3 linked regions of the Rhinolophus ferrumequinum genome follow. The protein of the gene in region 1 purifies or fractionates together with the protein of each later gene. This does not show direct contact. Links are inferred from orthologs where the notes say so. Each region holds a gene or a part of one and is shown in the gene's direction. Other genes may lie near its edges.

Evidence for each region. Proteins that work in one complex are often made in the same cells at the same time.
Region 2: the proteins of SNRPA1 (region 1) and SF3B4 purify together in Homo sapiens (affinity purification with mass spectrometry; 3 studies listed by BioGRID and IntAct, counting the BioPlex papers as one, with this or other methods). This does not show direct contact. The link is inferred for Rhinolophus ferrumequinum from reciprocal best matches to the Homo sapiens genes SNRPA1 and SF3B4.
Region 3: the proteins of SNRPA1 (region 1) and PRPF19 fractionate together in Homo sapiens (co-fractionation; 3 studies listed by BioGRID). This does not show direct contact. The link is inferred for Rhinolophus ferrumequinum from reciprocal best matches to the Homo sapiens genes SNRPA1 and PRPF19.

What each region holds. Positions count from the first base shown.
Region 1 is NC_046311.1:12,856,590-12,867,370, reverse strand, and holds the start of SNRPA1 (U2 small nuclear ribonucleoprotein A'), read left to right. Parts: upstream 1-6,280; 5' UTR 6,281-6,377; coding exon 6,378-6,459; intron 6,460-9,468; coding exon 9,469-9,616; intron 9,617-10,230; coding exon 10,231-10,309; intron 10,310-10,781. Other genes in the region: PCSK6 (proprotein convertase subtilisin/kexin type 6), read left to right, coding at 752-849. UniProt on the Homo sapiens protein: Involved in pre-mRNA splicing as component of the spliceosome. Associated with sn-RNP U2, where it contributes to the binding of stem loop IV of U2 snRNA.
Region 2 is NC_046305.1:50,391,704-50,401,982, reverse strand, and holds the start of SF3B4 (splicing factor 3B subunit 4), read left to right. Parts: upstream 1-6,139; 5' UTR 6,140-6,453; coding exon 6,454-6,487; intron 6,488-6,922; coding exon 6,923-7,051; intron 7,052-7,318; coding exon 7,319-7,861; intron 7,862-8,162; coding exon 8,163-8,369; intron 8,370-10,200; coding exon 10,201-10,279. Other genes in the region: MTMR11 (myotubularin-related protein 11), read left to right, coding at 100-178, 297-432, 684-771, 931-1,019, 1,104-1,228, 1,693-1,759, 1,970-2,040, 2,550-2,716 and 4 more. UniProt on the Homo sapiens protein: Component of the 17S U2 SnRNP complex of the spliceosome, a large ribonucleoprotein complex that removes introns from transcribed pre-mRNAs.
Region 3 is NC_046294.1:9,869,415-9,879,741, forward strand, and holds the start of PRPF19 (pre-mRNA-processing factor 19), read left to right. Parts: upstream 1-6,187; 5' UTR 6,188-6,412; coding exon 6,413-6,431; intron 6,432-8,071; coding exon 8,072-8,221; intron 8,222-8,409; coding exon 8,410-8,486; intron 8,487-9,225; coding exon 9,226-9,367; intron 9,368-9,448; coding exon 9,449-9,522; intron 9,523-9,636; coding exon 9,637-9,699; intron 9,700-10,327. UniProt on the Homo sapiens protein: Ubiquitin-protein ligase which is a core component of several complexes mainly involved pre-mRNA splicing and DNA repair. Required for pre-mRNA splicing as component of the spliceosome.

The sequences.
Region 1 (10,781 bases):
GCACCGCGACCTGGCGTGCAGGAGAGGGAGCTACCAGAGCCGCACTGTCCTGGGCACAGAGCTGGCCCTGGGCCTGGCCTGGCCGAGCCTCGGGCCTGCAGAGAAAGCCCTGGGCACGCCCTGCAGACCACGAGATGGCCTCCTTGCCTCGGTGTTTGGTTATTTTTCTGGTTTGCAGAACAGTGCCCCTTCTCCCTTTTTAGGAAGTCACCTGCTTAGGTTATGTGTCCAGCCCAGGAAAGTGAGGTGGTCACAGGACGGTCTGTGGGTCCCATGAAGGGCTACACATTCTCAAAAGCCAGCGGCCAAGCGGTGGGGCTGACCTCCATGGCTCTTGCCCTCCCCGTCAGCTTTCCATCTGCCTTGCTGACTGTCTCTCTCCCGTTCCTTCCCTCCCCCCAGACCACAGCAACAGCCTCTCTTCCTGCCCCTGCCCCCCCCAGAGTCCTGTCCTAGGCCCACCCCCTGCACAGCTGTCTGCAAGGAGGTGCACATGAGCACCGAGACCCCGCTGGCACTGCCCCGATGTCCTCCTGACCTGCGCTTTGCACGCCCAGACTTCCTGAACCCCCTTTATCTCCCAGGCTCAGCAGGAGTCCCTGTATGTCAGCAGGGTGACTGTGAGGGCTGCCCTGGCTGCCACCCCCACTCCGTGTCCCCTCCCCCGGCCCAGTACAGTGGGATGGTTAGAACCATGAAACACGCCTCAAAGTCTGACATATCCCTGCTCTCTCTCCTGGTGGGGCCCCAGCTGACGAAACGTTCTGCGAGATGGTCAAGTCCAACAGGCTGTGTGAACGGAAGCTCTTCATCCAGTTCTGCTGCCGTACGTGCCTCCTGGCCGGGTAGGGGCTCCGGCCCCTGCGGGCCGTCCGGCCGTCTGTCCACCTGTCTCCAGACCGTGGGCCAGAGCCCGTTTCGGGGTGGTACCCTGCCTGACAGCTTTACCCCCCAGGAGCCAGGCCCTTCGGCAGCATCTCGGGGCACCCAGATCAGGCGGTGGGCCTTCAGGAGCAGCTCCTCCCAGACGCACTGGCTGGCTGCACTCTTCTGGCAAATTCCACCCGGGAACCCAGTGCATTCTGGGAATCCACAGCTCCAGCTTCTGAGCAGCCTCTGGGACCACAAGTTTACTGAAGCTTCCAGACCAAAGCAGACAGTCAAGACGCTTGGCCTCACACATCGCTCTTCTCCCAGCTTCCCGCAGCTCCGTAGTCAGTCTCAGCCACTGGGTCCAGCCCACAGAACCTGGCTGTCCCCACGCGTGACGAAGGGCCACACGGCACACCTGCTCATTGCCTGCCGCAGAGCAGGCTGGTGGGGGGCATGGTTTGGTCAGACTATAGATAAGGTAGACCTGGGGACATAAAACGTGCGACCACTGGGGACGGAGCCTCTATTCCTACACAGCCAGCGACTTCTGAAATCGCAGGCTTCGAAAGTCAGATTCCAGCCCCGGATGGGGAGAGCCTTTCCTTCTCTGGAGGACTGTCCTCTGCGTGAGCCGAGTGCTCCCTGTTACTGCCTTCTGTCTGTGTCTGTAGGAGTCCTGTGGCCCGAGTGACCCCCTCTACCCGCTGCACAGCCTTCTGAAGGTGTCCCCGGGGGCCAGCCAAAAAAGACCCCAACAACCAAGCAGTTCCTGTTAACACGTGTCACCCCAGCCCGTGAATTGTTAATCATCTGTCACTTCCCGTTTCGCGGAATTGCTTTTAAAACACACCTGGCCTCTGCAACGCGGGACGGTTGAGCCCAACGACACGGTTGGACCTCTTTCTGCCAAACCTGTGTAGGCCTTTTATAAGCTAAATGTTCTGATTTGTACCAATGTTATTCTGACAAAGAGTTCATATATTTTCATTGAAATGCACAGATCTGCTTGATCGAGTCCCTGCAATAAGGGGTAACATTTGCCTTAAATTTTTTCCAGCTCAGTCCTTCTCCATCTTGCCCTGCCCCGCTCTTTGACTGTAATGCATCTGACTTATCCCTGGGGGGCTGGGGGACAAAATCCAGCGGGTGTTTGGTGAATCCACAACTCCGGAAAAAAAGAAATCCACAGAGCAGATACAGTGTTAACCTTAAATTAATAAAAGAGTTAACATCCCACAGCAAAGGAGCCTGTATTTCTTTCTAAGGCACGACAGTTAAACACAGGTGCTGACCAGTGGGGGAAATGGTGGTATTTGTGGTTTCCAGAACGGTTTGATGTCATTACGTGGAAGGTCTTTAGCTTCAGAGAATGTTGATGGGACCAAGTCATGGGAGAAATCCCAGAGTTCCAGCCCCAGGGTGTCCTTTGGCAAACAGCCCCTCTTCAGGCCACAGACGCCCGCTTGGGTGGAGAGGCTGGTTATAGGGATGCTTCCTTTCTGTCCCAGACTGCAAGCCCCTTCACCTATGGCTGCCAAGCCTGATTTAATTAGGTTACAGCTTCTTTCCGCACAGAAACTGAAACACTTGCACCATGGGTTCCATGCTGCATGCGATTTTGACCGTGTCCTCTCTGCAAGATCAGAAGCTTGTTTTGCTAGGAACCCTTCGGCTGCAAATAAAGGAAATTCACCAACTAGAATTGACTTAGGAAAATACAAAAGTGGGTGAGGGGCATTGTTTTAGGATCCCAGGGTTGACTCAGAATTTCAGGGAAGGGTGCTGCTGGGCCTTGGGAACCCTAAGACCAGCATTAAATGTCACCTGGACCCCTTTGCTTTGGAGCAGTGAATGGGACAAATGACAAGGCCACCACCATCTCCCAGGTGAGCTTTCTGAGTCTGCTTCTTGGCCCTGGTTGGTCTGCCTTCATCGGCGTTCACCGGTCCCATCAGCTGTGGCCACAGGGACAGGTTTGTGCAACAGAACGAAGCTCCAGGCAGTTCTTCCTGTGACCACCTAGCGGGAGGGGTGTAGCATGATGCTGTCAGAAAATGGGGGTAAGGCCCACAACCCAACACTACCCAGCACGAGCGTGAATTGACCAGACCTGTCCGTGTGAGGGGCCAGTGGGGAAATGAGTGGGTGTATTTGCGAGACAGCAGCCAGGGCTGGGCTGATGACTGATACGGATTCAACCTCCCCCAGGAGACTCACCTGAGGTTAAAACCAGCAGCTAAGTATCTCTGGTGGGGGAGGGGAGCCGTTGGAGCCCCTAGAGCTCTTTGCCCACTGAGCGCTTATGGTCTAACATGTTTAGAACTGAATCAGACATAAACTTTTATTCCCAAAGCATTCCCACTACAGGCAGCCAACCAGACAGCCTTGGAACACACATACCCTCATCGCAGTGGCTGGCCCAGCCTGTCCTGGGGCTGACGAGTGCCGTGGGCAGCTGGGAACCTGTTCACAAAGTTCTTAGGACCAAATGCCACCTTGTTTAAAAGGACCGACGACATAAAATGCCTTTTTTTGCAAATGGCCCAACCTTAACTTCATCTAGACTCAGTTGGCGCAGGACATGTTCATGGATTTTATTTTATGTGACAGAATCATGGCTCTTCCCCTGTAAATCTGTCATTTCACAGACGGAGGCTCACAGACGTAAAGTGACTTGCCTTGGGCCACACACTGGCAAGGTTGCTCCCATCCATGTGCCCAGGGAGGGAGGCTGGCTCTCTCCGCAAGAGGGGGCATCACTTGTGCAGCTGACCAAAGGCAGGCATGATGCATTTGTTTTAAACTAGCTTTATTTCCAGGGGGTGACATTTTCCTTACCCTGTCCGCCAAATTCTTTGGCACCTCAAAGTGGTCCCCGGGTGCATATCCCCATCCCTCCCAGGCCACGGCGGACTTTATACCTGGTAATTATGTAAAGAGCTGGGGAGAATTGCACCTTTTACAGAAGACACAGCTGTAATGGGAAGCGGGCTGGACAGAGGTTGAGAAAAACCAAAGGGCACCATGGTCAAAGTGAGGCCAACAGTGCAGTGCTCTTGAATATGGGGGGACGGTCACTCACTGCATTTAAATCACTGATAATATGGCCACAGGGAACTTAACCTGAATGCTTGGGGTATGCTGGGGCCCCTGGGAGCAGGTGAAGGGTGGAGGTTTGCGTCAGACGACGGAAAGGCAAGGAGATGGAGAAGTACAAAAGAACGGCATTTTAATAAGAACAAAAAGTAGTATACCAGCCATTCTGCAGCATCTTAAGGTTCTGCCCAGCCAGTTGGAAGCGACTGGGTGCTGGCTGCCATGGGAAAGGAGGAGACTGCATCCCGCTCCGGACTTCCCTGCTGCTTTTCTTCCTTGAACCCAGGCCTTATCCTTCCTGACACCTCAGGCTCTGTGGCTTGTCTGTGCACAGAACAGCACCCCGAGGTGATGCAATGCTGAGCACCCATCTCATGCCCTGGGGTTCAGTTCCCATCACCCGAAGCTGCCCCCCACCCCAATATGTACCAGCTACACTAAGGGTGATCGATACCTACTAGGCTCCTTGTTGAGCAAATAGGAGTCCAAGTGCCCAGAGCAGAAAACATCTCGTTGCCAAAAACAGTGGTTCTCAACCGGGGGTGATTTTTGTGTCCCTGGGGACATCTGGCAATGTCTGGAGGTATTTGGGGGTCACAACTGGAGAAAAATACTGACATTTAGTGGGCTGAGGCCTGGGATGCTTCTAAACATGATGGAATGCCCAGGACAGCCCCACAACAAAGAATAATCCAGCCTAAAAATGTCACCTGTGCTGAGGTTGAGACTCTCTAGCCAAAAGAAATGAAATCAAAACAGAAAATCTGTTCTCAACTTCATAGAGATAACCTAAGGTTAATATAACTGCCTCTAGTTTATCTCCCTGTCCATATGCCGAAGCAACAAAAACCCATACAAATTTCCTATTTTAAAGTAAAGAAAGAAACTCTTTTCAATCCAGCAAGCCAAGGGCCAAAACCAACTCTTTGGTCTAAGGACTCCCCCTGGTGGTCCTCTGTGGGATTAAGTGAAGTTGGGATTGTAGCGTTTTTTATTTTGAAACAATCTCAATGCAAAATTACAGAAAAGTTGCAAGTACAGTACAAAGAAATGTTTTCCTGAACAATTTGAAAGTAAATTACCGATATGATACCCTATTACCCATCCACCCCCAAATATTTTAGAGGCTATTTCCTATAAACAAGGACCTTCTCTTATATAATCATCAGAAAATCAGGAAATTCACATGGATATATTACTACCTACCGTCTAGTCCTCTGACTGCATTCCAGTTTTGCCACTTGTCCCAGGAATGCCCTTAGCAAAAGGATCCAGTTTAGATCACATTTTGCATGTAATCCTCCTGTCTCTCAAGTCTTCTTCAACCTAGAACATTTCTTCAGTCTTTCCCTGACTTTCATGACCTTGAACCTTTTAAGGACTACAGGCCAGTTATTTATATGCTGACCCTCCGTGTCTTTGTCTGAGGTTTCCTCATATTTCAATTCTGGTCAGATGTCTTTAACCGTAATCTCCCAGAAGTAATGTGTTCTTCTCGTTGCATCCTAGTAGGTGATACAGGATTTTGATTGGTTTCATGATTGGTGATAGTGACTTTGATCAATGATTAAGTTTTTCCCCCCTTGGCTATGAAGTGATGCCTGCTAAAAGGATGTCCCCTACCACCACTGTCCAACCTTGTACTTAAGATGCCAGACAATGCCACAGGGCAAAAAATAAAGAACTAGTACACAAAATGGAAAGGAAGACATAAAACTATCATTCTCAGACGGGACGCTTTCAAAGTAGTGTTCCGTGTCTGCACCAGGGCCGACAGTTTTCGCTGGCGTGCTCACTCTGCGATCATTCGTCACGTTGCACACTTCTGATGTGCCCACCTTTATGTATTATCATGCATTAAAATAAACATTTAATTGTCTGGAGGCCTAACCACAAAGTCGACCGTGCCCAGGTGCCAGGTGCTGGGAGGTCGGGCGGTCCCAGCGGCCTGGCCGGGAGCAGGTGATCCAGCCCCGGGGTTCAGGTTGTAGCCCGGGGGCCAGAGCCCAGGACCCAGACGGGAATCCAAAGTCCTGGACCCTGCATGAATCCCACGGGTGCCCGCCACCTTCACCTCCAGGTGCACTGATGCCTGAAAAAGTTCCACTCGGGTATCGTCACATGTTGCTTAACTTGCGGACACAAATGTCTGGAATCAGGGGTCCTCCAGACTCCAGAGACGCCCTAGGAAAGCAAGCAGGACTAGACGCGTCCTCAGCGCGCTCCAGGGCCTCAAAGGAGAAGGAGATCGGGGACGCGGCTCTTCGATTGCTTCGGCCTGGACGTCGAGCTGCGCGCGCACGCGGCGGTGCGACTGGTGCTGCCTGGCGGCGGGCGCGGGGCAGGCCGGGACCTGTGTGTGGCGGGAGGCAGCCGCGGGCCGCGCACCGGGAGCGGGAGGCGGCAGTATGGTGAAGCTGACGGCGGAGCTGATCGAGCAGGCGGCGCAGTACACCAACGCCGTGCGGGACCGCGAGCTTGACCTTCGGGGTGAGTCCGCGGAGAGGGCGGGCCGTCGCCGGGCCGCGCCTCCGGGCCGCGCCGCGTGTGCCGAGCGCTGGAGCTGGGGCCGCGCGTGCCTGCAGCTCGGGCCCCAAGGGGGCGGCTGCGCCGGGACCGCCGCGGCCTGAGTCCTGCCGGCGTCACCGAATGACCGTCCCTTGGGCTCTGCCTAGGCTTCTGTTCCGTCCTCGCTCCAGGGCCGACGCGGTGGCTTCCTGGTCCGTGTCCGCGGGCCTCCGTGAGGCCTCCTCGGGCTCCTCCTCCGTCCGCTGTGTTTGAGGGCCGGGGAAATGCACTGAGTGCTTGGTTCTCAGTCCGTACTGGTCATCGTGCGAGTGTCGGTAGGACGCGTGTGAATTGTCTCCAGTCGGTGAGGGAGGAAACGAAGTCCGGGAACAAAAGCGATTGCTGCCCAAACGTTTCCGCCTTACGAGCTCCAGTTGTCTGCGATTTCCCTTTTACCGGCAGGTTTTATGGAGTGAACTGTTTCCCCGAGGCTTGCTCGACCGGGTGTCGTGTGTAAGTGGTGCAAGCTCTCGGAACTAATCGGGTTCCCGGAGCTATTGCAACCTTAGGGAGGCCGGGCAGGACACTGAGTACAGCTGTTTAATCAGCGTGTCAGAAGATGATTCCAGGAAGGACAGTCCTGACGAGCGGGGGAAAGAAGGGAGAGGACACACGCTCGAGTGGGCCCGATGACCTGATTTAGTAATACCTAATCAATGTATTTAGTAATAGGCAATAGCAAAAGGCAAGTAATAGAACGTGCTAGTGACAGAAGTAAAGGTGGTTAAGACTAAACTATATACATTGATAACAAGGTCACGTCAAAGGAGTACACGTACTTAAAAGTTTAAGAGATCCCAGCACATGTTTACTATTGATCAAAAATCACTTGGCTAAATGCACAAATAACGTCAGTAAGGAGAATCCAAAAGCAGTAATAAGCCCTCTAGGATAGTAACTGTGATAGTAGATGCCAAAAGCTCACCAAACCGTAGGAAAAGTCATAAGTCAAAACTTCATCGGGTCTGCAGCTGAGAGAAACTCAGGCGTCTCCCGCCCCGCCGCTTGCTAGTTCCCAAGAATTTTGCTGCCGTTTTTTCGTTGCTGGAACTTAGGGCGTCCCTTGACATTACAAGCTGCAAGCTGTATACACGTTTCTAAACTGTTCACAAGTTCTCCGGAATGCTGTTGCTGTTGTGGTGGCTGTTGCTGGAAGTTAGGGCGTCTTCTGATGTTGTAAGCTGCAAGCTGCATACAAGCTTCTAAAATGTTAACAGTTCTCAAGAAGGCGAACGGTGGGGAACAACACCGGAGAGGCCGGGAACCAGGCAGCCCTCACCAGGTCCACGGCTGGAAGTCAGGACAGCCCCTGGTGCTGTAAGCTGTGTTGCTGGAAGTCTTCAAAATGTCAGAATGATGAAGAGTCACCAATGACAAATGATGAAATTTTAATTACGATTACACTGCCAGCTGAGGTCTGTCTTAAATATTTTCTCAGATGTGCCTTAGAGCCAAGTTTCTTGTTCCTGCCGCCCCCTCCGGGAATGGCCGGTTCCGGGAGGGTCCGGCAGTTACTGATACGAATGCTGCCCATCTGGCCGAAGGGCCAGTTCATCTGGATAAGCAACAAGACCTGGCAACGTGCCTGTCACGTCGTCCTGATATAACTTAGCTACTTCTTCACTTCTGCTGATACAGGCGAAACAGAACAAAGGGAATTCTCTCAACCCCTGATCAAGAATTCTTTTAACTCTAAGCTAACCATCACCTCACAGCACGACAGAAAAGCAACCTCATCTCATGTCTCCGCTGCTCGGGAGAATGAGACCAAAGGGGGAAGTGACTCAACCCTGATCACAGCACAGAAATCAGGAACATACTGGAACAGGTAAAAGCTAATACACAAAAGCTCACATCAAACAATGAAGGCAAACTTTCTTCACTTCTTCACGTCTTCCCTGATAAAAAGAAACAAGAAAGTCACATCCGCCGATGAAGGCAAATTTTCTTCAACATCTTCCTTACAAGGACCCGAAGAGCAGCTTCTGCAGGGATGAGATTGTACAATCTTGGCCTGAGATTTGCTCCCACGGGGACTGTAGAGTCTGGGAAGCTGCCGTGCTGCACGCTCTGCCCAGTGCTTTTATTTTGATGCACTTAAGTTTCTCAGAGGAAGATTCAACTGGAGAGTAACTGACCACTTTGACCTTCCCGGCTCAGGTTGACCTCTGTGGTCTTCAAGTGTGAAGCATGTGGGGTGTGGAGGATAATTGGGGCAGCACTTAACTTGGATGTAGCCCTTGCAGCTCTGAACGGTGGCCTTCCTTTAACCTTGGCTGGGTTCATTTCTTCGCTTCTAGCATCTAGCACAATAATTAAGCGCATGTTAGACAAGTCAGTGAGAATTCGCTTGAATTGTTCGTAGCGTGATTTCCCATTGGGTATAAGTCATTGACCTTCAACCCTGGATTGGAGACGGGGGAGGGGAAGTAAGGGGAAACTGTCATGGTGTCGTGAGGCTATCCTGATGGGTTGTATGAAGCTGACCTGTGGGAAGGCAAAAGAGAACTGTTGTCCCCGGTGTATGAAAAAGGTTTGGACACTGGCCATAAGCAGCTCACTGTAAATTCCTGTTACGCCACTTAACTAGCTCTGGGGCCTTGCTTAGAACAGTATGAGGCACCTTGCAAATACCCTTCCAAGTGTTAGCTACCACTTAATGTCACTAAGTATCCTCGTCGTCATCGGCCTTGACATCAGCACCTTCACGACCACTGCTACACGGTAAGCTTCATGGCAGCCGGGACTTGTAACTTTTTCCCTATTTTGTGTGCCAGTACCTTGCAGTGTTTGGTGAGGCATAGGTGCTAGGTAAACACGTTCTGAACAAATGGAAGCTTTGAGTCGAATGACCATGTGATACTGCCCGTGTTTTAAGGTGCCTTTTAATTATATTAATACTTGTGTGGGGTTTTTTCCTCCATTTTACAGGGTATAAGATTCCTGTCATTGAAAATTTAGGTGCGACCTTAGACCAGTTTGATGCTATTGATTTTTCTGACAATGAAATCAGGAAACTGGATGGTTTTCCCTTGTTGAGAAGACTGAAAACATTGTTAGTGAACAACAATAGAATATGGTAAGTGTCTGCTAGTGGAAAGTAATTCTTTTCCCTCAGATCCTCTGCCATTTTTTCTTTAACTACAACACATTTTTAAAATATTACTTACTGGAATTGAGATTTTTTTTTTTGACCCTCTTATCTCTGTGTAAATTTTATTGGAGAAAAGTTATTGAAGGTCTATAGGAAATGTCTTTAAGGAGTTCTGGGTGGTGGGTTGCGGTTTCTGATATAGGCATATTTCTCAGCAGTAAACCGTGGTGTGTGTCTTGTCTCTGAGCTGTGAGTGCAGAATCACTCGTGTTTCTGTGCTGCCCGCCCGAAAACCATGAAGTGAGCTACACCATTTGTTCTACACATTTCTTAGTTTCTTTGGACAGTGGCGCAGTGGAAAGAGCCCCAGGCAGCTTTCAAGAGGCGTGGGTTCTAAAATCATCCCACTCTCACCACCGCTGTGATCTCAGACAGGGTTTCTTCTTTGTGTCTCATTTCCCCTCTGTCACAGGGTATTGGAAGAAAGGTCTCTAAGGGTGTTCCGACTTTGCAGTCTGAAATCCTCTGAGCGAGGACTAGATAAAATTGTTAGCTTACTTCATTGTCCCTTTTACTACGTCTTTCTGTTTTTATTTTAGCCGCATAGGTGAGGGCCTTGATCAGGCTCTGCCGTGTCTCACAGAACTCATTCTCACCAACAACAGTCTTGTGGAGCTGGTAAGTTGAGCAGGGGGAAATGGAGTTTTGGGGGTTTTTTTGTTTTTTTTTTCAATTTTTAAAAATTAATTTCAGGTGTACAAAATAACGTAGTGATTAGATATTTATATACCTCGCACATAACCCCAATAAATCTATTACCCATCTCACACTATACATAGTTTTTAGAGTATTATTGGTTATATTCCCTATGCTGTACTTTACATCCTGTGACTATATATATATATTTTTAATTACAGTTGACGTTCAATGTTATTTTATATTATCTTCAGGTATACAGCATAGTGGTTAGATATTTATATAATTTATGTAATGATCCCCACAAAAAGTCTAGTATCCATCTGACACTGTACATAGTTATGAGAATATTATTGACTATATTTCGTATGCTGTTCTATCCCTGTGACTATTGTTTTTTAATTACAGTTGACATTCAGTATGATTTTATATTAATTTTAGGTGTACAGTATAG
Region 2 (10,279 bases), on another chromosome or scaffold:
CTCTGTTGGTGGCAAAGACAGCGAAGCAACACATGGGCCCCATTTCCTTCTTTTCACTTCAGTCTGAGCCAAAAGGATGGCCTGTCCTTTCCTCCACAGGTGACCACGGCCATTGTCCAGGCCAGAGCTCAGAGCAGTCGAGCCCAGCAGTACACAGGGATAATCCTGAGCAAGGCTGGTGAGTGTGGGTGCTTTGGGGTAAGGATGGGGTAACGAGTCGGAACACACAGGCTGGCTGAAGACAGAAGAGCTGAGCCGCTGTCTCTGCTTCCTCCTCCTCCTCACTCCTGCCCTAGGCCAGACTTCTGGCTCCAGAAAACCGCCTATTCCCCTCTTGGAGACATCAGAAGACTGGGAGACTGAGAGGAAAAAGCAGGGGGCCAGTGCCTGGAGGGTCAGCCTCGTCAATGAGAGGTTCGACGTGGCCACCAGGTGATTCCCCCAGGCCACCCCAACCCCTGCAGCCCTCCCGGTCTTCCCACAGTTCTCTGATCCTCTAAAACGACGCTTCCCACGTACGCCGGCCTCCTAGGACCTCCACGAAGCTATGCCCCGTACCTCCTAGATCTCTACACCTGGTATCTCTTGGAATGATCCCCTCCTAAGTGGCTTCCTTGTAATCACAGCTTTGCATTATAGAGAGGTCACTGAGTCAAGATGTGACATAATTCTCAATTTCACAGCCTCCCCCGTTACTTCTGGGTCCCCAACCGAACTCTGGACAGTGAGGTCCGGAGAGCATTTGGCCACTTCCATCAGGGCCGTGGACCGGTCAGTGTGAGGGTCAGGGTAATGGTTGGGGATTCGAGGGCTATGGGAGGTCAGGGGTCATTGTGGAGAGAGGGGCCCCCTGGGAGGTGAGTGTGGGGGCAAGGGGAGGGTGGGGCTAGGAGTTTCTCCCATAGTGATCCTCCTCTGACTCATTTGAAGCGCCTGTCCTGGCATCACCCTGGGGGCAGTGATCTTCTCCGCTGTGGTGGCTTCTATACAGCCAGTGACCCTAACAAGGAGGACGTCAGGTGAGGGAGGTTTGATGAGAAGAATCAAAGCTCGGATGTTCAGGGCAGACTCCTTCCCTTACTTGCTGACTCCCTCCCCTGCAGAGCAGTGGAGTCCCTGCTCCAGGCGGGGCATTCCGACGTCGCCCTGGTGGACACCATGGACGAGCTGCCTAGTCTTGCAGATGTTCGCCTTGCCCACTTGAGGCTGAGGGCCCTCTGCCTGCCTGGTGAGAGTAACCTTTGACCCCTTACCCCACCCCTAGGTCTGCTGACCCTAACCTGGTTTACCATTTTGCCTGCGACAGACAAGTAATCCTTCGGCCCCCTGATCCTTCGCTTTCTCCTCAAATCCCCCATATCCCACAGACTGATTTCCTGTTTTTCCGGACCCCAACATATATTCTTGTTTTGAAACTGCTTTATTGAGATATAATTTACATACCATAAAATTCATACGTCACCTATCTTAGGTGTTCAACTCAATGAATTTTATTATATTTACAATGTTGTACAAATATCACCACAATTGAACTTGGAAACCTCACGGCCATTGTCGTTACTCCTCATTCCTGTCCCCAGCCCTAGGCAACCACGACTCAACTTATTCTTAACCCTTCAGGCTATAGAGCCTGAATCCCGAATCCCACGTTTTCCTGATCTCTGCCCTTCTGACCTCTCTACCCTCTATCAGATTCATCCGTAGCTGAGGATAAGTGGCTCTCAGCCCTGGAAGGGACACGGTGGTTGGACTACATCAGGTACTTCCTCTTTTTCTAGCCATGATTTATGATTCAACCCTCCCCAACCTTCTGTTAACGTGGACGCCTAATGGCCTCTGAAGTCTCCTGGTCTCCCGAGAAGACCGCTGTGATGCTGCCCCTTACAAGGGGCAGGATTTTGGGCTCTGCCTCTATTACTCTCCTCAAAGCTTATCATTCTTCCGTCCTCTTCCTCACCTGCCCCTCCAGGGCTTGTCTTCGGAAGGCCAGTGACATCTCAGTCTTAGTGACATCCAGGGTTCGCTCTGTAGTACTTCAAGGTGAGTTTCTTGGATCACCTCACTCCATTACTTGACTGTGTCCTTCACCCACCTGACTGGATCCTGCTCAGGGAGGGAGACCTATTGTCTCTAATTACAGCTCCGCCTCTCCCTTTGCTAGGAACTACCATGAACTCTAACTCACCCTCCAGTGCTACCTCTGTCTCCCCATTACAGCCCGTGGTCCCTAACCAGGGTTTCCGTCCTCAGTTACCATCCTTCCATCAGTGGAATGGCATGGGGGTTGGTGTGGGAAGGAATGTGGAAGTAGGTTTGAGATTTAGAATCTGCCTCCTACATGTGAGGCTGGTTATTTCTATCCGGTGGCGTCTACAAAGTGAATCATTCAAGGTCTTTGTTTTCTCTTCACTTCTATGTGCCCTCTCAATCCTACCTACCCCAAACTTTCTCCTCTGGCCTCTCACTTCTTGCTTTGTTTCCTTTTCTCATTCTCTTCTGCCCTAGTTTCTCGGCCCCTCCTTTGTCCCTTCTCCCTCTTCATCACCCAGAGCGCGGTGATCGTGATTTCAATGGCCTCCTCTCTTCACTCGTCCAGCTGCTTTCAGCCCCTGAAGCCCGAACACTGCTTGGCTTCCAATCACTAGTGCAGCGAGAGTGGGTGGCAGCTGGACATCCCTTCCTGACCCGACTTGGGGGAACTGGGGCGAGCGAAAAGGTGAGAACATCTTGGGAAGGTTTTGGGTGGGGGCCAGCATTCAGTATTACTAAAGAAGTAAGGGGATCAGAAAAGTATACTCCATTGGAGGTGAATAAGGTCTGAAGGGTCCTGAGGGTAGACTGAGCTTGAAGGGAGACCCAGATGCGTGAGGGACCACATCTATGACATGCTCAATTCAGATTCCATTTTCTGATCTCCTTCGGGGCCCTTGTTCCGTGTCCCCCATCATTTTGTCATCCTCCCCCTTTAGGTCACCACAATCCCATCCTCTTAATTTCCCTCTTCTCAGGCCCCCGTGTTTCTCCTCTTCCTGGACTGTGTCTGGCAGCTCCTCCAGCAGTTTCCAGCTGAGTTTGAATTCTCTGAGTTTTTCCTTCTTGCTCTTCATGACAGTGTCAGGGTTCCTGACACCCTTACATTCTTGAGAGACACTCCCTGGGAACGTGGAAAGCAGAGTGGACAGGTCAGTGACTTCCAGTTTTTACTTGTCTCCCCCACCGCCACACATACACACTGAGAAGTAATTTCTGAAGTTTAGTCTTGATTTATTAAAAGTTAGGTCCATGGGTGGGAAAGGGTGGAGGTTGGTGCTCACTCTCAGCATTTGACTTTCACCCTACGTCTGATTCCTGGAGTAAGAGACGAGAGTCTGAGAACTTCTCTCTAGACCTGGGAGGAGGATTACATGTGTATATGTATGTATGTATGTATGTATGTATGTATATTTTGTTTAACCATCCCTTTTCTTGTTTCCTTTGTCCAGTTCAACTCCTATACACAAGTCTATACCCCAGGGTATTCCCAGCCCCCAGCTGGGGACTCCATTAACCCACAGCTGTCTGTCTGGGACTGGGATTTACGATACAGCCATGAACAGATACTACAATTCCGTAATCCTGGCTATGACCCGGAATACTGCCCAGATTCCTGGCTCCCTAGACAGCAGGTGAGGTGTCTAAACTTCCTCAACTCCCTTGAATTTCTCACAGGCTCATCCTACTTGATGTGGAGAAGTGGAAAGAGACAGTATCTGAGTCCCCCAGGGAAAGCTTCCCCACTCCTCTTCTATAGCTGTCACAGTCCCTGACTGTCCCCAGGAAGACAGAAATCCTAGAATAGCAGAGGGCATCCTTTTTGTTCTCATCTTCTGTCCCTTGCACACGTTTTATAAATTTCCCTAAAATCAATTTTAATCAGTCCTGAGGCCTAGGCTGAAACCTAATGAGAAGGAAAGATAAAAGCTCTCAGCGAGAGGCCAGTGCAGTGTGAGTGGGAGGCAGCTGGACATTCTAGCTCTTGACTGTTTGGGGAAACGGGTCATCTGGTTCCTAGGCTTCCAGTTGATTTCCCTTTTCCTTTTAGCCAAGCTTCATGGTTACTGGACCCCCCAGTTCTGTGTGGCTCTTCTCTAGAGGGGCCTTGACCCCCATGAATCAACTCTGTCCTTGGCGCGACAGTCCCTCCATGTTGGCAGTCTCTTCTCGTTGGCTCCCCCGACCTGCTATCTCCTCTGAAAGTCTGGCTGATCAGGAGTGGGGGCTCCCCTCGTACTGGGGAGCTTGCCCTTTACCCTCGGGGCTGCTGCTACCTGGATATCTGGGACCTCAGATCAGGTTCTGGAGACGCTGCTACCTGAGGGGAAGGCCTGAGGTCCAGGTGAGGAAGGAAGACAGGGCCTGGGAGGTGAAGGGTTTGACTGCTGAACCAGATGTTTCCAGGATCTGGAACAGCAAAGGGCTGGGGGGATTGGGAAGTGAAATACCATTCCCGTTGGTATCCAAGTGGATAGGTTTGGGAGTGTGGGTGGGGGAAGGTGCTTGTGGCTCAGATCAGGTGGAACTTAGGGCACAGTTAGAGGGGGAAAGAGAATTAAGACACCAGAAGTGGCAGACAGATTTTAGAAGCAGAGAGCTGGAGCTTCAATAACGTTCCTCTCTGCTTGTCTGCACCCCTTCCCAGACGGGCCTCTCAGCTCCCACAATCTCTGGCCTCCAGGATGAGCTATCCCATCTTCAGGAGCTATTAAGGAAATGGACACCAAGAATATCTCCTGAGGATCACTCCAAGAAAAGACATCCAAGTACCATTCTCTCCCAAGCCCGTTGAAATTGCTTTCTCATGGGCCGGGAAGAAGGTGGTCTGAGGGTTCAGTCTAATCCTTTGATTGTTTTATATCTGGTCTTGCTGCCTCAGCTTTCACACTCCAACTCTTAAACAAGCTTGCTGACTTGTTTCCATCACAGATGGGTGGTCTATCATGTTTGGTTCCTCAGGATTATATACAGAGGGTGCCAAAAAAAATGTATACACGTTTTAAGAAAGGAAAGAACTATTAAAATTGTAATACTCAATATATACCGATAACAAAAGATGAATACAAGTCGTGTTTGACTTCTGCAATGACAAGAGGTACTCAAAGTGGTTACTATCATGGTCCAGACATTTCTGAGTACAGCAAACTACTGCTTGAGCAACGTTGACCAAAGTGTCCCATTTGTGTATTTTTTTTGGCACCCCCGGTATATCGCGTCTTGTGATTTGAAGAATTTAGAAACAAAAACAATCCAGAATATGATCACCTGTTTTTTCAGGGCAATTCCATCCCTTTTGGATATCCAGCTTTGTGAGAGCAGAGATATGCTGTTCCTTGGTCCCAACAAGTTGGCCTACCGACCTCATTCTCCCCTCTTCTTGCTGCTTCCTGAATTCCAATTTCTATTTCTTCCCTTACAGCTTCCTGTGGGTATGGAGTGGATATGGGAGACACCCTGTCTTTTCCAATTGTATATTTTTGTAGTGACATTTCTATTTAAGGGATTCATTAAAGCGCAGTATTTATACATGTTGCTGGCATTGTTTCGTGTCTGAATAAAGGAGCCTAGGCAAGACGGGGGTGGGTACAGAGAGGCTGGGTATGACTGGAGAGAGATGGCACCCACCGTATTATTAAGGAAATAAGGGGTTGGGTCAGGTGAGGCTCTGCAGAATTCACATGCAATTTGGGGAAAAGGTTCTTCTCCAAGCCTCCCATTTAGTGGCAGACGTGGGGCAAACGCACACCGAGCCGTGGTTGCTGAGGCCGGGTGTGTCCTAGAGGTTGAAGCCTCTGGGTTCAGTGTCAACCACGCCTCAGCTTTGGTCACTTAGAGCCTCAGCTTCCCCTCACCCCCACCCCCCACCCTAACCACGAGGCCACCTCAGGCATCACTCCGGCTCCAACATAAACTGCAATCCCCTCCCTTCGGGGAAAACGAACTACTACTTCAAGCCTAGGCTGGGGCTGCGGGCGGGAGTGGAGCGCTGCCTCCACGCCTAAGGCAGCCGAGTGAGTCCTCAGCACACCCGTCTCCGGGGAACAAGTGACGATCATTTGGCACAAAAATATATGAAACACAAAGTTTTGTTCTTTTAGTTTTCAAGTTGACGTTTCGGGAGCGGTATGATCCTGCAACGTCTTGCACTGCTTTGAAAGAGGTCTGAGCGCTTCCGTTCCGCCGTCCTCGCCCTGAGAACTCAAGCGGAAGACTCGGAGAAAGACCAAGGCGCACAACAGCCCGTCCCCGGGGCCGCATCCAGTCTTAGCGGCTCCTAAGATGGCCGCCACCGCTTCCGGCCCCGCCCCACGCCGCGGCCCCGCCCACAGCCTCACGTCGGCTTTTGCCCCCGGAAGTGGAAGTAGTGACTGAGGTCGGAGGGCGGGATCGCTGCTTGGAGACGGCGGGAGCTCTTCCATCATGGCGGCCGGCCCGATCTCCGAGCGGAACCAGGGTGACTGGACGGGACAGGGGGGCGGTCTGGGGGGTCCCGAGTAGGGCCAGCAGTGTTTCCGCCCGGGCGGGAGACTGCGCCACCCAGGAGGCCGCGGGACTAGCCACTTTGCTTGTTGGGGGCGGGGTGGCCCGGTGCCGGCTACGGCCTGTAGGTGTGCTGCTTTCTAGTATGTCGAATCGCGTGCTTTCCCACTCAAAAAGAAAATCAAAAGGAGAATTTGCAGCAGGACTCAAAATTTGACTTCAGAAGATTCCCTAGTTCTTGGAAAGAGGGAGGTGTAGGGGCTTAATCTAAAACTCTCTCTTTTTTTTTCCCTTTTTGCTCCTGTACCGTCTCCACCAATTCTCCCACCTGGGTTTCATCTTCACGTTCCCGTCATCTCCTTGCACGGCATACGCATCTCTGCCCTAACTTGCTGCTCGCACCATCCAGATGCCACTGTGTACGTGGGCGGCCTGGATGAGAAGGTTAGCGAACCGCTGCTGTGGGAGCTGTTTCTCCAGGCAGGACCAGTAGTCAACACCCACATGCCAAAGGATAGAGTCACTGGTCAGCACCAAGGTGAGTACAGGCCAATAGGTCCGTTTATTTATTGAGGACAGACGGCTCCTGAGGACCCCAGCAGTATTCACAGCTGTCTTGGAATAAGCAACGTAACTAAGCATTTCTTTCTCTTAAGCCGACCTAGCTCTCGTTTGTTTCTGGAGCCATTCTTAATTGAAGTGAGGTTATTATTTTTTGTTCTTTGTGCTTTCAAAGATGGATGAGTTACGCCCTTTTTTAAGCACGTCACTTCGGTTGTGAACCTCCTGTCTTCCACTTTCCCAGGCTACGGCTTCGTGGAATTCTTGAGTGAGGAAGATGCTGACTATGCCATTAAGATCATGAACATGATCAAACTCTATGGGAAGCCAATCCGGGTGAACAAGGCATCAGCCCACAACAAAAACCTGGATGTGGGGGCCAACATTTTCATTGGGAACCTGGACCCAGAGATCGATGAGAAGCTGCTTTATGATACTTTCAGCGCCTTTGGGGTCATCTTACAAACCCCCAAGATAATGCGGGACCCTGACACAGGCAACTCCAAAGGTTATGCCTTTATTAATTTTGCTTCGTTTGATGCTTCGGATGCGGCCATTGAGGCCATGAATGGGCAGTACCTCTGTAACCGCCCCATCACGGTGTCCTATGCCTTCAAGAAGGACTCCAAGGGTGAGCGCCATGGCTCAGCAGCTGAACGACTTCTGGCAGCCCAAAACCCACTCTCCCAGGCCGACCGCCCTCATCAGCTGTTTGCAGATGCACCCCCTCCACCCTCTGCCCCCAACCCTGTGGTATCATCACTGGGGTCTGGGCTTCCTCCACCAGGTAAAGCGTTTGATTCACAATATGTTTGTCTTGGGTTTGGGGGTGGGGCAGAAAGAAGGAAAAGAACGGATAAAGAGGGACATTGAGTCGGTAGGCGATGAGAAGGGGATTGAAGGCTAGTGGTTGTGGTGGGGAGGAAAGTTGCTGAGTTTCTCCAGGAGGCGGAAGTTTTCTGTGTTGGCTGACATTGCCTCTGAGTTTGGAGAGCTGAGAGGAGCTCGTCCTGCCTGGAGAGGCCAGATTGGAACAGGTTCTCGAAAGACATTCACTCTCATTAACTGTTCTTCTGTTTCTTCCATAGGCATGCCTCCTCCTGGCTCCTTCCCACCCCCAGTGCCACCTCCTGGAGCCCTTCCACCTGGGATACCCCCAGCCATGCCCCCACCACCGATGCCTCCTGGGGCTGGAGGACATGGGCCCCCAGCAGCAGGAACTCCAGGGGCTGGACATCCTGGACACGGACACTCACACCCTCACCCATTCCCACCAGGTGGGATACCCCATCCAGGTGAGTACTCTTTGCTGGAAAAGGAAGGGATGAGCTGGGAAGAGGAGCTGTCACCACTTATGCTGCTGTCCTTTGTCTCTCAACAATAATAGTTCTAGAATGTCTTTCAGACATTTTTTTATAAAAACAAGACATTTTTTTATAAAAACAAACACAAGATACTTTACTCTCTTTAAAAACTACCACCTTGTCTCTATTTCTTACTTGTTTTTCCAAAGTTTACAACTATCCTTGTTGTTTTTTGTTTCCTTAACTTTTACTTCCATTCTTTCCTCTGGCTTCCATCTCACGGCAGTTACCTAATTGCTAAATCTAGGGGACACTTCCACTCCTTATCAGGTTTGACCTATGGTCTTACTTGAAACTGGCTATGTGTTCCTGTTTGAAAATCTTATCTCTTTCGCTTTTCTGGATCCACTTCTTATCTGTCTCCTTAATTTTAGGCACCTCAGTAGGCTCCCTTTTCTCTGCGTGTACCTAGGATTTTGTGTTTTGTTCTCCTTTCTGCATAGTTCCATTACTTGTACTTTGATGCCTCCGAGATCTGTATCTCTGTTCCATGGTTGTTCACATTCCAGACTCTTAATCCTGCTGTTGAAATCGACAGCTCCACTTTCCACCCTCCCCTTCAACCCTAGCCTTCCTCTAGTATTCTTTGTTTTCGAGTGCTTAGTTCAGAAATATGGGGCTGTGTTTGACTATTCCCTGTCATCCCACTCTTGATACCAAGTCTTATTAATATTTCTGGCGTCGGCCCTCACTGCCAGTGCCCTAGTTCAGGCCCTCACACCCTCATTAATTCACACTTAATTTTTAATACATTTTATTGGGGAATATTGAGGAACAGTGTGTTTCTCCAGGGCCTATCAGCTCCTAGTCATCCGTCATCCTTCAGTGTATTGTGGAGGGTGCAGCTCACTCCAAGTCCAGTCGCCGTTTTCAATCTTTAGTTGCAGGGGGTGCAGCCCCCCATCCCACGTGGGAATTGCACTGGCAACCTTGTTGTTGAGAGCTCTGCTCTAACCAACTGAGCCATCCGGCCGCCCCGCCGGAAGCTCAGCGGCAGCTCGTTGTCTTCAATCTAGTTGTGGAGGGTGCAGCTCACTGGCCCATGTGGGAATCGAACCGGCAACCCTGTTGTTCAGCGCTCGTGCTCTAACCAACTGAACCATCGGGCTGCCCTCACACCTAATTTATTGTAAGAATTTCCTACCTCATACTTTGACTCCAATTTTCATTACCTTTGATCCACTTCACAGAGTAATTTTTGTCAAACACAGAAATCTACATACACACTCTTGCTCAAATTCTTCTGTGGCAAGAGTAAAACCAGCCTCGTGACCATAGCATTCTAGGCCTTTCCTGGCCCCTGTCCGTTACTCCTGTGACTGCCTGGTGCCCATGATTACTAAGCGGCTGGTTTTCCTGGGACAGACTGCCACTTGACACATCAGTGAGTTGCACATTCTAGTCTTTTCTGCCTAAGATGTTCTAGTCCCACTCTCTACCTGAAAGAGTCTTATCCTTTCGACATAGATCTTTGCTCAGATAGTATCTCTGCTACCTTCCCAAATCCTATTGACAGACCGTTCTGTTTGTTACATACATCTGCGGCTCTTCCGGTGCCTGAATCGTGGGAGAAGCAGGTAAAGAGGGCGAGAAACTGACTGGGTAGTTGGTTGGTTTGTACAGTTGGAATGGGGTCCAGGAGAAGGACATTTTTAGCAGCCTCGTTTTCCCTACTCGTCACTTCTCTCCATTTTGTTTTCTTTTTTTCCCCACGTTTTTGCCCTTGTCTCCTGTCTCTGATGTGTCCGTCTTGTTTTCATAGGGATGTCTCAGATGCAGCTGGCCCACCACGGCCCTCATGGCTTAGCACACCCCCATGCTGGGCCGCCGGGATCTGGGGG
Region 3 (10,327 bases), on another chromosome or scaffold:
TGTTTTGTACCAAGAGGTATAAGGAAAGCAAAAAATTGGGACTAGACCTGCCACTGCTGTTCAGGCAACTGTAGTATGGCGCAAGCAGGGCCAGGAGAACCCAGCTGGGCTGGAGAAACTGCTTCATGTACTGTAGTAGTGAGGAGGCACTACATGTTTAGGTGTGGTTTGCCAAGAGTGCAGGATGGGGCGGTCCACACACCCCCTGCCAAGACTCTTTGCTCTGGTTCGTTTCCTTTCACATTATGAATCACTACATGGCAGGAGGGGCAGCTGACTTAGTGCCCTCTGCTGGCCCTGATTTCTCCATCATTGTCCAGAGCTGCCCCTGTGGAACGGTGGTTCTCAACTCTGAGAGCCCATCAGATCAGCCTGTGGAGCCTGTCAAAGCAGGGATGCCTGCCCACCTAGGGCCAACTTTCCAGACTCTCCCAGAGAGCTCCGGCTTTTGTTTTCAGAGCTCCTGGGACTATCTGGTGCATAACTATAATCAGCAGCACAGGGAAAAGCCTACTCTAGGCAAAGCCCTGAAAGTGTAGCAGTATACAAAGGACCCTCAACTTTCCTCCCAGGCTCAGTTCTGCCACAAACTAGAAGCCACTACCTCGTGCCTATTACTTAATCAGAGTTTCAGTCTCAAGTGGAAAATGGGGTTAAGTGGGGTTAAGAGTTACTCCAAGGAGTTAACATGTTTCTGCAAGAACCTGGTACACTGTAAACACTTACAGAAGTGTTGCAAATGGCCAATATACCACTCATTACATTGTAGCAGAATTTAGCAGTTTATATGCCTGCCTCCCCAATTAGACTTTGAGCACCTCCGGGTCAGATTTGACAACTAACTTTTCTTGGAATCCGTAGCGCCTAGCACAGAATGATGACTAATACGTGCTTGTTAAGTGAATATTAGAAGGCCGCCAAGAAGCCATGGGGAGGTGGGGACAGGGGACTTATTTTAAAGTTCATCCAAATATGCAGCGGCCACCCTAGAAAGACAGCTGCATTGAAAGAAGGCTCCTAGACGGGCGAAGCTGCCACTGAGGGGGATGAAGTCAGCGTCCTGGCAGGTAGGGGCAGCCCTCGCTAAACCCTTGACAGCTGCTGCCCAGCAACTGTTTGGGGGCAGGGTGACAGGCAAAGGGGCAGTTTCCCAGCTTCACGGCGCCCACATGAAGGCCCAGCCTCCTGGAGACAGGGTGTCAGCGGCATGCGCTATTTCGAACAGTGCGTCCCCTGCCAAGCCCTGCTGGGTGGCATCGCTGGCAAGGGACCCGGGGCGGCGCATGGGTTCGGGGTACCCCAAAGAGCTCGGAGCGAAGCCGCAGGAAGCTGCGCCGTGGGGTGGGGGTCGGAGACGGCGTGCTCACCCCTGCCTCGTCCCCCAACCTGGCGGCTGCCGCGCCTCGGCCGGACCTGGGAGCAGCGTTTGCACCCCTCTGCTCCCGGGAAACGCGTGTCTCCCGTTACCTAGTAACGATGCCCCCAGTTGCATAGCAACGAGGATCCGGGTCCCCAGTCGGCTTCCCGCTCGCGCGACGTCGGACCCCTCCCCAGTGGTGCTCGCCTGGCCTCGCGGCTCCGCCCCGGCACCGCCTGTGGTGGCTGCCGCCTCCCCAGCCCTGTCTGCCCCAAAGCCCGGGTCTCGGCTCACACTCACCGGGCTCGGGCCACTGCTACCCTTCACGTGCGACTTCGCTAAAACGAGCCACCAAACCCGCGCCTTAACTCCGGGGTGCTGGTTTTCCGTCTGCGCACGCGCAAGGCGGGATGTGCTCCGGTGCCGGCCGCTCCCTCCAGGCCCAAACCCGGTGCCGTGTACGCATGCGCCTTACTCTCGCTTGTTTTTTTCTTTCCGACACGGTGACGAGTGGGATCGGGAGTTCGAGCAGGGGATGGAAGTCTCTGGCGGGAAAGGGGAACTAAGTGACTATATCTGGGCTGTAGAGTGGGTAAACTGGGTCTTTGAATTTGGGGTCGAAGCCTCTCCAGCCTCTGGGCATTTCGGGCAATGTAGTTCTCGAGTCCCGTGATGCCTCGTAGGCATTGTTCTAAGGAAGGGGCGCCCGAGAGCCCCTAGTCTTTTGAGAAACTTTTCGCGCGCTAAAAAGGCACAAAGGGAAAAGGTGTTTGACGTGCAGTTAGAGGCACCCAATGGTGGGGAAATGCACCTGCACCTTCTGAGAGCAATTTCACACCCGGACTCTGGAGATGGCTCCCAAAATGTTCATTTAATTTTATGCAAGGAAAGGAACAAACTCCCAGACCTGAGCTCTACCAAAAAAAAAAAAAAAAAAAAAAAAAGGCGGCATGGCGAGGAGGAGCGACCAAGGATTTGAAAGGAGGTGATCCCTTGCTGGCTTTGTGATTCCAGGCACGTTGCTTCATGTCTCTGAGCCTCATTCGTTTCCGCATTACTATAAAGTACTATAAGGTCCTAAAAATACCATTTCACAGTAGGTGTGGAGATTCACTGAAGTAACAGAATGAAGATTTTAAAAAAAACATCCAAGCTGCTGTCCAAATGTTGTGATCACATTGGCTGCCATTGGAAAGCTCCCCTCCGATGTTAAAGCAGTTCCTGAAACTCAACACTCTAAAATGGAACTCTTTTTCCCTCCTCTACCTGAATCAGCCTTCTAAGTCTGCCTTCTTCCCAGATCACGCACTCAGTAGCAACCAGTCAGTCATCAATCCCAGTTGTTTCTTTTCTTCAGACGTTTCACAGTACATCTCTCATCCATCTTCCTCTGTCTGGATACTCATCACTTCCTGCCTCTGCTAAGGGTCTCTCTGTCTTCCCCAGCCGTCTCTGGTAGCATCCTGGAAATAGTTGGAACTTTACATTTGCTTTTGAGATTGTTTCTGATTTGTAGGACTACCACCAATCTCAGGTCACAGACTTTCCCGTGCAAGAAATGTAGCTTTCCCCCACTATGACTAGCTAATTTCTTTTCAACTCTTTCTATATGAGTGGTGGAAACAATCTCAGACAGTTCAGGGTTCTTCCCACCCTTGATTTTTCAGGTTATACAGACCTTTTGGAAAATTAACATGGGGGTGGTGGCGGGAGGGGGTGGGGTGGGTGGGGGGATTCATCTAATCCTCAGTGTCTGTTGTTTGAGCTGCATTGTCCTGCCCAAGCCTCTGTCATGTCAGATGAATTCGAAAAGAGTCTGGAGACTTTGCTAGAAGTAAATTATAAAAATTAATTCAAGGGCTTTAGAGTTTGCAAATTGGAAACGCAGCTAGGCAAAAAACAAACAAACAAAAACAAACAAACCCAGGTGTGTCCCAAAGAAGAAAGAAAAGTTAAGAGTTCATATAGTTAAACGAACATTTTTGAGAATTATCAGTCCTGCATTCTTAGCCCTAGGATTGGTCCCAGGTGGTTATCAGTCAGGCAGTCTGGATGATGGATGCCAGGTGGTCCAGGAGATGGGCACCAGGAGGTCTGGTCTTGTCAGTAGTCTGGATACGTGAGTCCTTCAAGAGGTAACCAAAATTATCTGGAGGTCTGGTATATGTCTGGATGCATATCCAGGCATTGATGCAGGACTGGAAATTTCAAAAAGTTTAAGTTCCCCTGCTAATTAGAACAAGAATGGAGTCTTTCCTCATGCCTCAACCTTCATGTTAATAATTTTAGCAGCTTGGTTAAAATGCCTCAGTTTTATATATCCCTGATCTTCACTCTTTCCTCTGTCACTTGTCCACACAGTTTGCCACAGAATCTACCTACGAAATGCAGCTTCTTTGGAGTTATTGGCCAATGTGTTCTCTTGCTTTCCAAGCAGCCTTGGCCCTGGGAAGCAGGGCATAGAGTCCCTTTCTTGGGGATCCATCAATAACTACGCATATATACCTTTCTTCCTGTGTCTCCCTTCCTAGCCTAGGGAATTTTTATCTCCTCTGTGGGAAGGTTGAGATTGGGGGAAGTAGGGAGGAATCTGAGATCAAGTTCTTACCTGTAATATTTACTCCAAAATCAGTTGCCCTGAATCCTTTCTATCGCCTGAGGGGCTGGCTTTTGAAACACAAAAGGCTGGAAAGGACTCCCCTTTTCCTCCATCCTTCTGTCACAGCCATAAGCTCCCCAATATAGGGATACCTCTGGGTTTGCTCATAGTGGGAGCCCCAATGCCTAGTTCAGTGCCTGGACTAGCATACAGTGGGTCCTCCATTAAGATCTGTCAAAAAAATGAATTACTGGGTCTCTTGCCTTCCAGTCTGTCCCCTTCCAACCCATCCAGTAATATCTTCCAGAGGAATCTTCTGGAAGTGTGGTTATCATTCCATAGCTCAGTGGCTGTTCTTCTGCCAGCCCAATCAAGTCTAACCACCTCTAGCTCAAGACCCCACCTAAACAGATCCATTTTATTTCCTACCACAGCCAAGAACTTAAGATGCCTGGTCTGTCAGGCAATCTGTCATTCAACCAACAACAGTTATGAAGTTTCTGCTATCTGTCAGGCATTGTGTTACACTCTGAGAAACAACAGTGACCAGAGAGCACAACTATGGTTCCTGCCATCAAGGAGTTTATGGTCTAGCGGAGAACCCAGACATCAAACAGATCCTTGTGAATAATTGATTATAGTTATCCAAAGTGGCTCAGAGGAATATTACAGACTACTGTGGGCACTGAACTTCAGTGAGAGGTCAAGAAAAAGGCTCCAGAGGAAACACCACTTAAGGTGAGGTTGAAGTTTATTTTGGAGGGGATGGGAGAGGAGGAGAAGGGAGGAAGTTGAGGAAAGTGTTCCAGGTGAAAATACTGGAACCAGCCAGAGTAAGTTTGAGGACTTGAAAGACCAGTGTGGCTGGAGAGAAGATGGGGTGAGACTATGGTGGTCGGCATGAGCTAAATGGTGCAGGACTTGGGGGCAAGTTTCCTCTGCCAGAAACACTGTTCCTCATTCGGGTCTCAACAAAAATGTCACCTCCTCAGAGATGCCCTCCCTGAATACCCTGCTTAAAAGTAGCCTATTCCTCCCATCCACAGCAGCTCCTATCTACTTTACTCTGATTTGTTTTATTCTTAGCACTTACCACTCTTTGGAATTTTTTTTTTTTTTATGTGTTGATTGTCTATATGTCTATGGCTCCCCCCTTCCCCGCAATAAAGTGTAAGCTCCAAAGAAACCTTGTCTTTCTTATTCACCATTTGTATCTCCAGTTATCAGCTAGGAGTTACCCAGTCAATATTTGTTGAATGAATGCAAAGCCTGGAGAGTAGTGGGAACAGATTTTTCATTGAAAGTAGATCACTGGCTGTTCCGTGGAAAATGGAGTAGGAGGAGGCCAGGTTGAAAACAAGACCAATTAGGATGCTATTTTATTGATGCAGGGGAGAGATGACAGTAGTTTGGCTTGGCTTTCGGGATAATGATAACAAACATGAATATTTATATTTTACTTACTATGTGCCAGGCTTCGTTCAAAGCACTTTTTAAATATCAACTCCTAGCAATAACCCTATGGGTTGTTAGTTCAACACTTGTTATCACTGCCCTATTTTACAGATGAGGAAATTAAGGCAGAGAAGTTCACACCCATTACTAGCTGGGTGGAGCTGGGATTAGAGCACGCAATCTGACGTCAGAGTCCATGCTCTTGGCCACTAAGCCATAATACCCTTCACACCTGCAACTTTTATTCTTCTCTCCAAGCCTTTGCTTGTGCTGTTCCTCCTTTTAGGATTCTTCCCTTCTATCTGAATATTGCCCGTCTGTTAAAGTCTAGCTCATTCACACCTCTTCAGCAAAGAAGACTTCACCGACCATACCTGGATGTCCTGCTGGTTGGTCTGGATCCCTTATAGTCCGCACCACGTTCTGTACATGATTTCTGGGAGTACCTTATAGATATCCACAAAGAACCCTACACCATCTGAGTTGGAAGGGAGGTGGAAGTCATGTAGGAAAGGGGAGATCGCGGAGCAAATTGGTAATAGGGACAGGCCTAGAACGGTTTCTTGGTCGGTGTTAGTTTCTCAACCCGTCTGCGTTGGCGCTTTCTTCACCGGGTCTCCTAGCAGAGTCTCTAAATTCTCACTGCATTATGGGAAATGTAGTTTCAGATCTCCTCCCGCGGCCCCTCCCTTCTCCCGCACTCGGCGGCGCTTAACGGAAGGAGCCGAGCCGTTCCGGAAATAGTCGAGTGTCCCGTGGCGGGCCCTTTCCTGCCCGGCTGCATTCTGGGAAAGGGCAGTTTCCGTTAGGGGCAGGAGGCTGAGGCGCGCGAGCCGCCGCAGTCCCACGTGAAGGGCTAAGGGAACATCGCTCGACTGGGGCAGCTCCCCGCTCGCCGCGGGGCTTCCCGGAAGCAGCGGGGAACCGGAAGTGGCCCGCGGCAGGTCAGAAGCTAATCCCGGAGCCCGGTGTGTGGCGCCTCGGAGCGCAGCGACGGCGCCATGTCCCTGATCTGCTCCAGTGAGTATTGGCTGCGGCCGATCGCGGGTCACAGGAGGCCGGAGAGCCGAGCGGGAGGATCTGCGGGCTTCTCAGGCGCCGGGGCAGGGGCGGAGGTGAAAACGGGGCTCCTGGGAGACAGGGCAGCGGCCTGTCAGCTCGGAGGTGGTCCTCCTCCTTAGCGTGGGGTGCATTTGCGCAGCGCTTCACAGTTTACGTAACGCCTCAGGTTTATTGTCGCAGGCATTGCTGAGCTTAACCACCTCGTTTACGCAGTGGAAACTGAGGCCTGGACACAGGGAGCTGGTGCAGGGGAACCAGCTCTGGTGTAGGAATCAGGATACCCGAGGGCTTCTGCAGGGTCCGCCTCCGATTGGCTTTGCGATCTGGTGCAGGGCCCTGGGCCTCAGTTTCCCATCTGCAAAATGAGGGCATTGTACTGGGTTTTGTAGGGGGTCCCGCTCGGGTAGGCAGAGCTTCTGCAACTTGTGAAGGGCACAGTGAATTAGAGGTAGTGACAGGGCTGGAAGCCAGGTCTCTAGCTTTCAGCCTCGGAGGCGAACATTTGTAACGCCTTTATTGGTGTACAGCGCACTTCCAAGCCTGTGAGCTCATTTTATCCTCACGCCAATTCTCCAAAGCTGAAATAAAGGTCCGCTTTCTCAGACGAGGATGTTAGGCTCCGGGAGAGTGTGGCTTGTCGAAAGCTGCACAGCTAGTAAGTGGCCGAGCAGGGTGATGGAGCCAGGTTCTCTGACCCGGAATCCATGCCTTTTTTTCATGCTTGTATCATCTTTCCTTTTGGTATTTTATCGTGGCTTGCAGATGTTTTCCATCCTTGTTGTTTCATCATCCCTTTCTCTATTTGCTTCCTAATTCTCAAGCCCTTTACTCTCAGAGCCTCTCCATAAATCAAAAAGAAAAAAAAGGGGGATGGGGGGAGAAGGAAGGGCCCTGACAGCTAGGAAAAGGAACCCTTCACATTGAAGAAATCACAGTTTGTGGAGTGTTTTCACATTCACTGTTTCCTTTCAGTCTTGAGGAAGCTCTTTTCCATCCAGCACCATCCTTCCTCTCATTCACTCATCTGGTAGGTGTTTACCGAGTGCCTGCTGGGGATCTGCATCGTACTGGAAGCCAGAGACAGCTGCAGTCTCCTCCTGGAGGGCTGCACAGACCACTGAGGCAGGCGTGTAAATGATACCTCTGTTGGGGGTGACTGTGAGGATGAGAAATCAATGGAGAGTGTTTACAGTCGTGCATGGCAAACAATGAAATGTATCATATAGCACTTGTCACATTGCTTTATCATTTCATAGTCTGACAGTCTATCTAGGCTCTAGACTGAGATTTGAGTGGCTTAATGTGTGTCTCCAAAGCATCTTTGTTCAGAAATGAGACGGGCAGCGCTGATTGACTGCTCTCCAGGGGCCTGGCACATAGTAGTTGTGCAATAATTATTTGTTGAGTGTAGGAGAAGCTAGATAGGTAGCTGGAAAGCATGCTGGGGACAGTACAAAACTGGCTTGGTGTCATGTCTTAATTCCTGTTAGTTCAGTGTGGGAACCCGGGGTCTTGTTGGGGCCGGCAGCAGGTGAGGCATCCCCTTGGCCCAAGTTCCCTTTCACCCCCTGAGCTCACGGCCTGCCTTTTCTCCACAGTCTCCAATGAAGTGCCAGAGCACCCATGTGTGTCCCCGGTGTCTAATCATGTCTACGAGCGGCGGCTCATTGAGAAGTATATTGCAGAGAATGGCACAGACCCCATCAACAACCAGCCTCTGTCTGAGGAGCAGCTCATCGACATCAAAGGTGCCTAGGGGCTGCCTCAGTCCAGGGTCATCTTAGCTCCGAGCCTGAGACGGGGGAGGTGGTGCCAGCTCATGGGAGGAGGGGCTAGTGCCCTGGCAATGCAGACTAAAGGGAGAAGAGTGGCGGAGAGGAAAAGCAAGGGTCCCCTGGGTTTTGGTTCTTCATACCTGCTTTTCCTCTCTCGGCAGTTGCTCACCCAATCCGGCCCAAGCCTCCTTCAGCCACCAGCATCCCGGCCATTCTGAAGGCCTTACAGGATGAGTGGGTGAGTTTCTGGAAGAGAACTAATATCCTCCCCACTTGAAGAGAGTGATCACTGGACTAGGACTTGGGGGTGGGAAGGATGGAGCATTATTTTCTCTTTTGTGGGGCAGGATGCTCACAGAGTAGGAGACTGGTTGTTGAAGTCACACAGATCTGAGTTCTACACTGAGCTCCGCGTGCCCTTGGACAAATCACTCGTATTCGAGTCCTGGTTTTCCTGACTGTACAACACAGATTAGTGTCTGTCTCTCGGGGTTTTGGGAGAATTAGAATAAAATTAGATTAGAAGTTGCATGACATGAGGGACTTGTTTAATTCATTGGTATATCCCCAGCACCGACAGCAACACCTGGCACACAGTAGGTGCTCTAAAATAGGAATGAATGAATATATCTTGAGGGACTGCCTGGCGCAGTGCCTGACACAGTGAGGGCAGTCAGTAAATAGCAGCAGCGTTTTTATTCCCTTTTGGTGAGGTGATGGCATGACATCTGAGATTTGCCAGTAAATTAGTGGAGCTGGGGGTGGGGAAGAGCTGGCTCCCACTCCTGTCCGTGTGCCCAGTGTTGGGGCAGGGGCTAGGAGCTCAGGAGTCGCTCACTCTCTGGTTCTGGGCCACTCAGATGGTGCTGGGGTCACTGATACTGTTCTAGGCCGTGAGCATTGGCGGCAGTGTCCTCTTCTCGAGGGCTGACGCTTCTGCTGGGTGCACCCCCTCAGAGTGGTATCCCCCCTCCCAGGATGCAGTCATGCTGCACAGCTTCACTCTGCGCCAGCAGCTGCAGACCACCCGCCAAGAGCTGTCCCATGCGCTGTACCAGCACGACGCCGCCTGCCGTGTCATTGCCCGTCTCACCAAGGAAGTCACTGCTGCCCGAGAAGGTGCAGCCTCTCCCCACTCCCCCCACTCGGGGCTGGTCCTGCTTCATCGTATCCCATTTCTAACATTATCTTCTCTCTCAGCTCTGGCTACCCTGAAGCCGCAGGCTGGTCTCATCGTGCCCCAGGCTGTGCCAAGCTCACAGCCAAGTGTGGTGGTGAGTGTCGTCTCCCGGCTCCCCCTCCGCCCCCAGCCCCCGGCTCCTGGGGCTCTCCTCCTGCCAGGGTTTTTGACATTCCATGCCTCTCACCTGCACCTTTCTTCTCTTCAGGGTGCAGGCGAGCCAATGGATTTGGGCGAGCTGGTGGGAATGACCCCCGAGATTATCCAGAAGGTAGGTCGTGCTTTCACTTGGTGGGAATGCTGATGGGCCCTCACTTTTCATCAGCTGCCTCGAGTCCCATGTGAATAAAAATCCCATCCATTTGGGGATAAAGGAGGGTCGTGCAGAGCACAGAGTCGGACCAGACTGCCTGCCTGGGTTTGTATTTTGATGTTACCACTTTTAAGCTTCACGGCCTTGATTTGACTTAATCAACCCCTCTGTATCCGTTTCTCTTGCTTTTAAAATAAGAATAATAGTGCCTACTTCGTAGACTTGTGGGAATTTAACAGACTGTAATTACTGATAAGTGCGACTTGTAGCTCTTCTTGTTATTGGGGTTCTTGGCAGATATTAAGATATTTTGTTACACGTTTTCATGTTTTTTCTCTGAGGAAGACAGGACAGGAATTAGCATTTTTATTTTACAGATGAGGAATCTTTGACTCAGATTCAAAGGCGCAGCTCACAAGAGGCAGAGCTGGCCCGCTCCCAGGTCCAATGCTCTGTTATATTTCTGAAATCCGCCTTCACAGGACTTGATAGTTTGTGTCTTTTCCAAACAGTTCAGATTGTCAACCTGCATCTCAGCTCTCATCTTAGTGGCATAGACCTGGTCTGGGAGCTCTGCCATTTATCA